Bombyx mori: one gene and its partners. The protein of the gene in region 1 interacts with the protein of each later gene in a biochemical or structural test. Links are inferred from orthologs where the notes say so. Each region holds a gene or a part of one and is shown on either strand. Other genes may lie near its edges.

Region 1 (4,408 bases):
AACGGATCACCTGAAGCGAAGCGAAGCGAACTGAGAATTTTAACGTGTTTGTAATGTGTTTAAGCGTTTTAAGTGTTGAATACAGTTTTTAAGTTGTACTTTAGTGGAATTTTATTTATCCCGAACCCCAGCGCGTAACAATATTAATAAATCAAATAAATTAAGTTAAAAATTAAGTCAAATAAATTAAATTCCCTTATTAGCAGCTATTTAAAAAACAACGTTCTAAATAATTGTAAGCATTTTAATTAGCAAAACTACGCATCGCCATGTTATCATACAATGGAATTTGAATGATAAGAATAACATGCTAATAGTGTTATTTTGTAAGGAATACATTATCTTCTACAGATATAAAAATGAATATTTGTAGCTTTGTTGTTGTTCGTTTTCTATGTGATGTCAAACACAATTAAACAGAATCTAACCAAACCATAAATCTAAAGGTGGGCGGTGACAGTCACATTTATAATAAATGGGCTTTGGTAAAGATTTAACTTCGGTGAACCGTGATTTAGTCTACTGATTATTAGGGTTAAGGGTGCGTTATCATTTTAATATTATTAAATAATAAAAATTGTAAAAGTAAGAAACAAAACCTTGATCAAGTAACATATCCCTTTTTTAATTTATGTAAAAAAATTCAATGACAAATTATTCAGCCATCTTATTATAGTTTAAAACATAGTTCTTCTGGTTAGAAGTAGATTGTCCTTTTCATTCCATTTGTCTATTCAGCAATAGCAAGGTTATAAATCCTGTTCAGTAAATTTCTTGACTACTCTTAACTATATAACAGCGGTCCCATCCTTCAAACAGGAGCACATCATTGCTAAGTAGCAGAATTAGGGAGGATCATGGTGCCTACTAGATAGGGCCTACAATATGCTCTAATACTACTGTAAACCATGTTATGTTGGTATACAACTAAGGGAACTATACTGGCTGTTCTCTGGTCAATCTTCGAGTTGCCTTTTCTGACACCCACAGAAAGCTTTGATGTGGTGAAATTTTAGGCATGATTTAATTTATTATTACAATTTACCTCTACCATGCAATTAAGGAAATATAATTTACTAATATTAATAAACAATTCAACAATACAATAATGCTCTTATTTATCCTTAATTATAATGTATTTTGTAATTATACTCAATATTTTTACTGTTATTATTTATATACATATAATATATATATATACGCTTTTAATACATATACATTATATAATACAAATATTTTATTCTTTCAATATTAGTGACGACTCTTAACACTAACTTAGAAAGAAAATTCATCAACACTGTCACTAATGTTAGTGATGTTTAGAATGTATTTTCGAATACAATAATGTATAGTAATGTTTGTTTATTAAGTTTTTTTTTATTGCCTAGATGGTTTGACGAGCTCACAGCCCACCTGGTGTTAAGTGGTTACTGGAGCCCATAGACATCTACAACGTAAATGCGCCACCCACCTTGAGATATAAGTTCTAAGTTCTCAGTATAGTTACAACGGCTGCCTCTCCCTTCAAATCGAAACGCATTACTGCTTCACGGTAGAAATAGGCAGGGTGGTGGTACCTACCCGCACGGCCCCACAAGAAGTCCTACCACCAGTAATTACACAAATTATAATTTTGCAGGTATGATTTTTATTACACAATGTTATTCCTTCACTACGGAAGTCAATCGTGAACATTTGTTAAGTATGTATTTCATTAGAAAAATTGGTACCCGCCTGTGGGATTCGAACACCAGTGCATCGCTCAACACAAATGCACTGGACGTCTTATCCTTTAGGCCACGACGACATCAAATCACAGGTCTCTTAGAGTGGAGCTGTTAGCTAGAGCTGCTATTGGCACAATGGCTGAACATATTCTTTTATGTTGAGACTTCATTGTACTATTTCTGATAAAATTTAATCTTTGACATTCAGTTGAGTGATAACTCATGTTATAATGTCAAAGGAACTCATTAATCTTCACACAAAATATACAGCATTTACAATGTTAAGTATAGTAGAAACTTCTTTGTTAAAAAAATTATATACATCCAAATATATGTGATATTCAAGTTTACATATTTAGCTTGCTTTTAAAAACTGTCTAAAGTTACACATTCTAAAGATATTTATTATAATTAATATAAAATGACTTCTGTTTTTACACTCTTTAATTTTTAAAATTACATTAGTGTTTCTAATATTTAGGAAATGAAAACATTAATCCAAACAAACTTTTTAATTAAATTTCTGAATATTATATTTCTATGTTTTTTAATCAAATCATTTTAAAAGAAATCATCATCATGAAGAAATTTCAAAACTTAAATATTTAACGCGAGCAACCTTACATACATGGTAAAAATTTAAAGATAATTATTATTTATAATGACATTTTTATTAAGCAATGTGGTCAAACAGATAAGAGTCATAGAAGATATGATCATTATACCCTCAACATACAAAGTACTTGCAATGTTCATTAATATCATCAATTAACAAGTGCAGGGCGCCTCCGCATGACTCATAATACGATCGGATGAATACTTAGTACCTACTAAATGGAAATAGTGTAAACAAAAAGGTTTACCACAACAGAAAATACAGTTTACCTCGAGGTTGAACTCCAATTCAGCATCCAATGTGCATACTTTAACTGGAAAAGATTTAGCAGCTTTCTTCCTCCGGAAGGGCGGCATTATTCTTATATCATTTCTCGTTTACAAGAATCACGAAACACCACCGAGGTTATGAATTTTCAACTAGCATTTAACTAATTACACGGCAACGTCTCCCGTTTACGTAATGAACACTCGATAAAGGAATGCGTGTAATTTCACATTGCGTACTATTTCCAGCGGTTATTATTTACAAACAAGAAAAACGTCAATGAAACAAGCAATGCGAAGGTGAATGAAAAACCTATTGAAAGGTAAACGTTCCATTCTACTTTAAAATACATCGGACTGGTCATTGAAATGAAGTTTAGGTCACGTATAACGAAACGTAATATGGATTTGAAAAATGAAAGAAAAAATCGGACAATGGGTTCAATGAAGTGATATTAGTTTAATAAAATGTTGCGGTTGATTCCTGAACTGAAATAGTTTATTTTAATATTATTATTTTTTAGATATTTAATTAATCTAATATTTTTTAAGTAATGTTTTTATTCCGTAGTTTACCTAACTCTAAACTTCAGCTCTCGACCCCGATTAGATGTGATCCACAGTATTTCTAACTACTCTTAAATCTAATTGAAACAGTTTTACTTTGCAGGATAAGACTTGCGTTCATTATCCATTTTGCCTAGAAAGAATGTGTTTGACGTTTGACAGTAATTTGACAACTATTTCATTTTGCTTGCTGCATAGACCTATTTCCTACTTCATTGGCTTGCTGTCATTATTTTCAATCAAAACACTGAACACTTTTTCCCCACGTGTGTTACATCTTTCATTTGCATATTGTTATGAAATACTAAAATGGGTAAATTTAGATCAAAACTTAAAGGCAAAACGAAGGGGAAACGATGGCAGAAAGGACAGTCATCAAATTCGAACCCGAAAATTCAAAAATACAGGGAGATGGCAAAATCCCGGTTTTTTCAGGAAAACTTAGGTATGTTCTCTCTAAAACTTCTCAAAATCATTCGTTATGGAAAAACGGATTTATAAACATCACAAAAAGTTGTTGAACAGTAATTTCAAAGTAAAATTTCCTTATAAAATCATAACCTAGAACATGACTAAATTAACTAATCTCATACTTTTTATGTTAAAATTAAGATAATTTCCTTATAAGTGACTCCTCTAATTAACTTCTACAGGCAGCACTGGCTTAACACAGCAAGCGGTGTCCAAGCATGAAGCTATGATGACATATGGACATAAAACTAACAAAACAAAATCAGATGCTGAAAATGAACTGACCATAGTAAAAGAGCTTGAAAATATGTCGGTCAAGACCGGAGACGAGGGATCAGAGTCTGAATACTCTGGTACATTAAGATCAGGAACATTTAAGACATTTCAAACATTTGCATCTGATTGGAGTCAATGTTCAAATATCAGCTTTCATAAGTAAGTTAAAGTTTAAATAGATATTTTAATTTTATTGCAGTATTTGAGACAGTACCTGAAAACAGGTTTCTATACTCACAATTGCTAATGTGATATTGAAAATAAAATACAAAATGTGGATAATTACTTAAGTAAGCCTTTATATGCACTTTAGTTATGACTTTAAATAGTCATGACTAGGAATTATTTGGAAAACTACTTGGAATAGAAATTATTTGGAATTCAGTGGAATACTGAATTATAATTCTAAGATGAAACTTAGGACATGTTCTTCTTAAAAAAATCTCTTTTAATCTTTTTTCATTTCATACTTTAAGTACCACTTT
Region 2 (4,397 bases), on another chromosome or scaffold:
GTGCTTTGGGCGACGTCGACGGTTTACCATTCGGTCTACTGGGTCGGGTATGTAATTTCCAGCGGCTACGATGAGAGGGTTCTCATGTCGTGCCGCCTTCTCAAAATGGCGCAGCGATGCCGACTGTAGATACTTACTGACAGAGTCAAGCTCCAGGTCATCGTGGAGATCCACGTTCCTCAGGAACCATGGTGCTCCGACGGCTATCCTGCAGAATCGGGATTGAATAACCTGAAGGGGCTTCAAGTTGGTGCGGGTTAGTTCCATACTTAGAATGGAGAAGCACGAGGAAGATAGCAATCTTCTTTCCACGTACCTACTAATTTAAGGGCCACACGGGCCATTTACTATCCACAAACTACTGCCACTGCCATCTATCGAATTGAAAGGAAAATTTTCAAACTAGTCCATGCTCATCTTTTATAGTCTGTGATAATGTATTGATCTGTGGTCTTTGATGACTGCATAGCAAAGAAAATTAGCGAACATCAATTTATTTGTTTCAAATATGTAAATAAAATTGAAGTTTCTCTAAAGGTTTAGAAAATTTAAAAGCTTTTTTTAACATTTCATTTTATTCAAATCGGTTAACTTTTTAAGTCATAAATTCGTTTTTTTTTCTTTTGCCCCTCACTAAGATATAAGAATGTTGCGATGACATCACTTTCTCAAAGAGTGATTAGAAGAGATTGGATAAAAGATATTTCAGTTAATGCTATTTACAATGTCGTTTAATGGATCAAATAAGTTTATTATTGAAATAATCTAGTTAATTAAATTAAACTATTATAATTAAATTATAATAATTAAATTAAACTAGATTAATTAATATTTAAAAAAAACATCAGATAATGTTTGAAACATTGTTTCTACGGCCCAATATTTTTTTACCAAATAGAAACTCTAAACTGTTGAATTAACGTGTCCCAAAATTTAGATTGAAACAATGGTTATTTTTTAAGACTTCAGTAGACTTTTTGGAAGAACCAAGAAGCCACGTCCAGCGGATTTAATTCATTGTCCCATACTTATGTACTACAACAGATGCTAAACGGTTAATAAGCTAAAAATGTTATACGTTGAAACTTTATGAAACGCTAAATAAATAAACGAAAACAATTTATACAACTTCGTCCTTCGCGTTCCTACTAAAAGTCCTTAGGTCCTGCTTAACTGATAGAGTATGTTTGTGGGGACATAAAATAGGTTTAAGGGACAGAGTTAAGGAGAAGATAAGCCCAGAATATAAAGTACTGCTAAAAATGGAAGATGTTGACTTAATAACTAATCAATAGCTAGAGAATCGGAGACATTCTAGCTAGTAACCGAACAAATTGTTCTTGCGTAAACTCTTTCCCTGACTTCTATAGTCAAAATTTAGTAAATTTACTACCTATGTAACGAACTAAATATACTATTGCTGCTAATATGATAAAATTAATAAATGCACTTCTCGAGCTATTTACTCTGTGATATGGGCGGACCGAAGTTGGTTGGCTTTTGGTTTTCGCCGAATATATTAAGTGTATAATCTATGGTTTTCGCGGTCGGTCTTTCGCTTCGCTCGATGCCGTGTTCGTACTCGTATTCACGGATGATAGTACAAGTCGTTTTTACATGATTAACGGCTACATAAAAGTTTCAGACAAAAAGTGAACTGTGTTATGTCAAAAAACTGTTTTCATAGTGTAAGTGGCGTGGAATCCTATTTATTAGTTCTCAGACGGCTGACCGCCAACTCGCGTATTCTAGTGTATTTAGTGTGCTGACGAATTTTATGTGCTTGACTGTGCTGTAATAGCATACCTTGGACTCGCAGGAGAACGTAAGTTCTAAAACAATTTATATGTAATATCATGTTTTATTCGTAAAACGTTTATTGTCAACGAAATATTATTGAGAATCATTCGAAACAGTTATTTAGGCCAACTCTATTTAAGCCCATTTCTTTTATTTTAATGAAAAATATTCATCTGTAATTTGTACCCAGTACTGTTACTAATTTATTATAATGTTTCATAAACTTCTTAATAGTCAGATGCAATTGAGCTATTTGATAAAGACGCTTCCTTAAATGCCGTTAGTGAAAGCTAGTTATGGAATGTCTGAAGTTGTGTATAATTGGTTAAATTAAAAAAACAAATAATCGAAAAAACTAAATACGCCAATAGCTACCTATCGGTTGTACATTTGAAATTTTTCTAGGTCAAGAGATTAAAATCATATTTACCATCATAAACAAGACATTGGTCATAAACATAGTAATGAAAAATCGGATGGTTCATTACCATTAGTCCACTCTTATAGACATCTGGGTGGATCTCCGTTTACAGAACAAGATAAGAAATCAAAGTGGAACTGTTCCAAACATTCATGCTAGAAAAGTTCAAAATTCAAATATGGAAATAAATCTTCATGAGTAATTAAACAAAAATCAAGTAATTAATTAATAACTACCATTATCATAATTGAATGCATTAAAAATGATTCTAAAATTTGACCTTAATTGTCACCAAAAAGTTTTCCTTAACTAAAATTTAACAGTTTGATTTTCAAGTCGGTTGTTGATTATGTAGGACATCGTTTAATAAATATTGCATCATAACTGCAGTGCACTTAGTGCAGACTAACTGTGAGCAACAATGTGAGAGTGTTGATAAAATTACACTCTTAAGGATAATTTTAAAAATTTATTAAGAAATGTAAAGACAACTATTTGTCACTTGAACTACCTGGGACCTCCCCCAAAGTTCACCACAATGCCGGGTTCAGTGTAGTCTGCATCTAGCAAATTGCCACATCCTTCAATAATCCATACAACCACACACTTTAGAACACACTTTTTGAACTTTTTGGCCCTAGATGCCATCTGTTCTAGAGCCAATGTACCTTCCCAATATGCCAATATAATGTCACTTCAACCTCGTAATAATTGGGCTATATTGGTTATCACAGCTATTCTAGCTATACCTTCATTCTCCATTTAATCTCTCACAGAAATTATCCATTTCAATAAAACAAAAGAGATAATATGAGATTTGTAAAACATCCAACTAATCTTCAGACTGATTAAAAATATTGCTTTGAATGTTGGATAACTTTATTGTGGTGAGCTTCTTTCTTTTGGATCTTTAAAACCACATGCTGTATATATTCAGCTACTAATTTAGGTTTTTTTACATGCCAAAATAGATTAAACCATTTTCTGTTAATGTTTTAAGCTCCTCGCACCAGAGAATGCTCTTTAATATTTGGTAAGTATCTTTTACTGGAGAAATGTTTAATTGAGCTGTCATAGTTGAGTATATACAAGGATTTTGTCCATAGCCTCTAGATCAGAATCAGCGTATATTATATTTAGACAGACATGGCATTATGGTATTATTAATCCTTTGATTGCCGTGTAGGTTGCCAATACCCTACGTGGTGCACTGAAGTTCTTATGTCAATTTCTGTTACTAAGACACTGAAATGTCTAGTAAACTCTGGACAACTATGAATCCGAAGATACTAAGAATGAATCTATTTCAAATAGCCTAAAAGACTAAAATATATATTAAAAACAAAAGTTGACAATCCAGGCACTTGATAACTGTTTCAGTGCTCCAGATAGAGCACCAGTGACTTACATGCCAGTCAAAGGGTTCAGGGATCCCATTTGTCTCTACCATTTCATTAAAATTTTAATAATAATTATGTAATTGAAAATATATAAATTTCAAAATAAAAAATGGTTCGGTCGCATTCAGTAAATTAAAAAATGTGTTCCCGTCCAAAATCGCTCAGTGCCTTAAGAAACAGGTGTAAACTAATGTGTTTTACTAGTGATGACTTACGGTTCCAAGATGTGGTGCTTCACAAGGGATATTTGTAGGAAGCTTAGGGTCGCGCAGCGAGCTATGAAGAGGGCTATGCTTGGTATTACTCTACGAGACTGAATCAGAAATGAGATCTGTAGAAAAGCCAAAGTTGCTGACATAGCCTCTAGGATTAGCAAGCTGAAGTGGCAGTGGGCAGGCCACATAGCGCGGAAATTGAACGGCCATTGGGGTGGAAAAATCCTCGAGTGGAGACCACATACTGGCAAATGCAGTGTGGGACGGCCACCTAACAGATGGATCGACGACTGGTGAGAATCGCTAGGTCACGTAGAATACAGGTGGCAATGAACCAGCCGCACTGGAGATTGGTTGGAGAGGCCTATGTTCAGCAGTGGACAGTGAACAGGCTGAGATGATGATGATGTCAATTTTACTTATGTAATGTTTCGATGGTTAATATTACCTGGCTAGACTATACCTAATAATATAATATAATTTTAAATGGGTATAAATTGTCCAGAAACACAAACTTTCTTATTTTTTAACTCATTTGGATGATACTTAATTGTAGTTAAA
Region 3 (3,654 bases), on another chromosome or scaffold:
ATTTGTCTGTAGTGTAGTCTTGGCGAAATCTGTAACAATAGGACCATAATAATGCTGAAACTTATAATTTCAATTAATTATAGTCGAATTTCGACTACTGCTGGACTACTACTTTTAATAAATTTGAATTAAAAATAATGTAAGAAAAAAAAATTTTATTGTAAAAAAGCGTGGGATGCTTTTCAGGATATTATAAAATAACCCTTCTACTCATATCTGTTCATAAAATATTTATAACTACTAATAACCATGCACCCCACGCTTGCTTTTTTTACATTAATCATTTTTCTAACACAATTTTTTTAGTTGAATTTCAATATTTTTTTTTTCAATTTTTTATATTGATTTGTCATCGGTCCATAATAAGTATACCAAATTTCGAGTTAATCCGATGTTTTGAAGGGGGGTCAAAATCATGTTCAAAGATTCCGTTACATACATACGTCTGAGGCTAATAAAACGTATTAAAAAAGGATTTGAACGGTGTAACGGTTTTAAAGTCGTCGTGGCCTAAAGGATAAGACGTCCGGTGCATTCGTATGTAGCGTTGAAACGGTGTTCGAATCCCGCAGGCGGGTACCAATTGTTCTAATGAAATACGTACTTATAGAGTAAGATCCCATGGCCCCCAGACGTCACGTATTTTCTGACGAACGAAATGTGGCCGATTGCGTAGTGTTAGTATGTACTAAGAATGCATGCCTACCTGCTAGCTTGCTTAGACGGTCAATTTTCAGGTATCAGATACTCAAGGTACATAAAATCATTACCTACTTCACGTATTTTCTGAAAGCTGATTTTTACGTATATTTTAGGCAATATCCTTAAAAATAAGTCGCCAATACTCCCAGACACTTTCCGTCGGCCGAATTGCTTTGCAGACGCTTTAAAGGGCCATCCCCTAAATTCAATTTAATACCTCTGTGGGTAAGAGCGGGTCTCAGTGGGTCGCGTTTCCGATCCGGTGGTAGATTCTGCGAAGCACGGCTCTTGCTAGGGTTCGTGTTAGCAACGGCGTCAGGTTAGAGACCCGTGAGCTCACCTACTAGTTAAGGCGACGCTGAAATGGTCTCTCAAGGCCAACAGCTTAGATAAGAAAAAAAAACACCCCGCTGGCAAAAGGCACGAACTTCTAATGTATGAGCAGTTAATATTCATACGTCTGTCTATTGTAATAAAGGTTAATTTCGTTTGTACAGCCGACGCAGCAGCAACTCCTGGCGGCCACCTCCTCGGGCGACATCCGAGTGTTCAATCTGTTCACGGGGGCCGAAGAGAACTCTTATCAAGTTCACGAATCTTACATTTATCATATGCAGGTTTGTGCTTTGTGATTCTTTTATTTTTTATTTTTTTATTACTTAGATGGGTGGACGAGCTCACAGCCCACCTGGTGTTAAGTGGATACTGGAACCCATAGACAGGTACAACGTAAATGCGCCACCCACCTTGAGATATAAGTTCTAAGGTCTCAGTATAGTTACAACGGCTGCCCCACCCTGCAAACCGAAACGCATTACTTCTTCACGGCAGAAACAGACGGGGTGGTGGTACCTACCCGCGCGGACTCACAAGAGGTCCTACCACCAGTAAGTTGTGACTTTATAGAAATGAGAGCTTTAATATATTTGTGAATATAGAGATGAGAACTTTTAACAAACTTTTTTAATGAATTAAAGACGGTTTGCTTAGAGAGGATATGTATGGAAATGACAACGCGAGGTAGAGGGCGAAGAGGTCGACCGAAGAAGACATGGATGGAGTGTGTGAATGACGATATGAGAGAGAGAGAGAGAAAGGAGTGAGTGTTGAGATGACGGCTGATAGAAGAGAATGGAATAGACAAATTCGCTGTGCCGACCCCACCTTGCGGGATAAGGTTTAGAAAAAGAAGAAGAAAGATGAGAACTTTAATAAATTTGTGACTTTAAAGATGAAGTTTTTTTTTTTTTTTTTATTCCCTTTGTAGGCAGACGGGCATACGGCCCACCTGATGGTGAGTGGTTACCGTCGCCCATGGACTTCAGCAATGCCAGGGGCAGAGCCAAGCCGCTGCCTACCGCTTAATACTCTCCATAAGCCTCGTTTGAAGAAGGACATGTCATAGCGCTCGGGAAACACCGAGTATAAGGAAAACAACCTCTTCACTATTTATCTATAATATATTATATATTAAAATGTTATTAAATGGAAAAATGTTTTTTTTAAATCTTTCATTATTAATAAAATGTAAGATATTATGTTAATGTCATCTGCAAGAACAATGAGAAAGTAATAACAAGCCATCTAGTGGTCAACGCCCGTAAACAGAATGTGTGAGAAACGACCTGGCTCGCGTCTGTTCTCTCACTCTCGCTCTTCCTAAATTGTATCTTTTCTCTCTAGCCGTAACGAATTTGTCGCGAGTTAAATGTTACTCTCAACGGGCCTAGAGAAGTTTCACTTCAAAAAAGTAGTTGCTCTCAGGAGCTGAGTTATGCTTATAATTATGAATCCATGCATATGCATCCACAGACAAGCAGAGACGGACTTCTGTTGCTAGCGTCAGCCACCACTCCTTGGAGGCCGCTCTCCGCCCTGTGGAACATGAAGGAGTTCGAACTGCTGTGAGTATTGCTTGTGGTGCTGAGGTTGGCAGGTGGACGGGGCGCACTCCGAGCCCGCACGTTCATGTCGCTAAGTCATGCACTGTATATGAATAGGAATGGAAGCTCTCGCTCTATGTGTAGTGGTATGTGTTCACAATTGCAAAGTTTTTAATTGAACATTCTCGGGATTTCATATGACATGTCCTTCTTCTAACGCGGATCGTGTACTTAAAGGTAGGCAGCGGCTTGGCTCTGCTGTCGTCCATGGGCGACGGTAACCACTCACCTACCGATGGTCTGTATGTTGTCTACACGGGTTGTATAAAACAAAGAATCCTTGATGAATACGACGTTTTGAAGTAATTTTTTTTAATATTTGATTTAAGTTCCCACTTTAAGCAGTCGGAGGCGATTGGATTGCTAATGAAATGTAAAACTACCTTAATTTCCCGTCTGAGCTACGATGTAGACAGAGACAGACTTATACGTCAATACGTTTTGTAGAGAACGAGACAGGATATCTCGAATCACAAGTCTATTGTTAATGTGGTCACCTCACAACCACCTAGACCAGTGATCGGCTAAACATAGATAACACCCAATGGCATGCGGTTGATTTAAAAGAAACGAGAACAGAGATACAAGAAAGAGTGTACTTTGTCCTTTTCTGGGCTAAAATTTAAATTTAATTTCGAATTTTTAAATTTTTGAAGTGAAAACTTCTTTAGAATCGTTGTGATTTCAAACCGGATGCAACGGAAAAAACGACAGGCAAGAGACACAAATACAAAAATGTGTAGGATGAAACCAGCAAAGAATGAGACAGAAATATACATACTATTTAATACAGCGCCATCTGTGAGATTTTTTAATACTAACGTCTGTATGAAAGCTCTTGTAGTGAATTTTAATTTAGGATTATACGTGAAATTAAAATATCAATTCACAGAGGGCGCTACCTTACAATTATTTACTAATGACAAAATTTTACATATACTTAAGACGTTTAGGATAATTGTATTTTAATTTTGGAAGGTTTCACTTCTACCACGTGTGAATTGCACAC

Evidence for each region.
Region 2: the proteins of merlin (region 1) and spectrin beta chain form a complex in vitro, tested with the Homo sapiens proteins (2 studies listed by BioGRID and IntAct). The link is inferred for Bombyx mori from reciprocal best matches to the Homo sapiens genes NF2 and SPTBN1.
Region 3: the proteins of merlin (region 1) and protein mahjong form a complex in vitro, tested with the Homo sapiens proteins (3 studies listed by BioGRID, with this or other methods). The link is inferred for Bombyx mori from reciprocal best matches to the Homo sapiens genes NF2 and DCAF1.

What each region holds. Positions count from the first base shown.
Region 1 is NC_085122.1:2,607,215-2,611,622, forward strand, and holds the start of merlin, read right to left. Parts: upstream 2,938-4,408; 5' UTR 2,700-2,937; coding exon 2,613-2,699; intron 1-2,612. Other genes in the region: RRP12-like protein, read left to right, coding at 3,486-3,621, 3,830-4,082. UniProt on the Homo sapiens protein: Probable regulator of the Hippo/SWH (Sav/Wts/Hpo) signaling pathway, a signaling pathway that plays a pivotal role in tumor suppression by restricting proliferation and promoting apoptosis.
Region 2 is NC_085124.1:11,160,196-11,164,592, reverse strand, and holds the start of spectrin beta chain, read left to right. Parts: upstream 1-1,465; 5' UTR 1,466-1,825; intron 1,826-4,397. UniProt on the Homo sapiens protein: Fodrin, which seems to be involved in secretion, interacts with calmodulin in a calcium-dependent manner and is thus candidate for the calcium-dependent movement of the cytoskeleton at the membrane.
Region 3 is NC_085130.1:15,862,303-15,865,956, reverse strand, and holds part of protein mahjong, read left to right. Parts: intron 1-1,199; coding exon 1,200-1,319; intron 1,320-2,514; coding exon 2,515-2,606; intron 2,607-3,654. UniProt on the Homo sapiens protein: Acts both as a substrate recognition component of E3 ubiquitin-protein ligase complexes and as an atypical serine/threonine-protein kinase, playing key roles in various processes such as cell cycle, telomerase regulation and histone modification.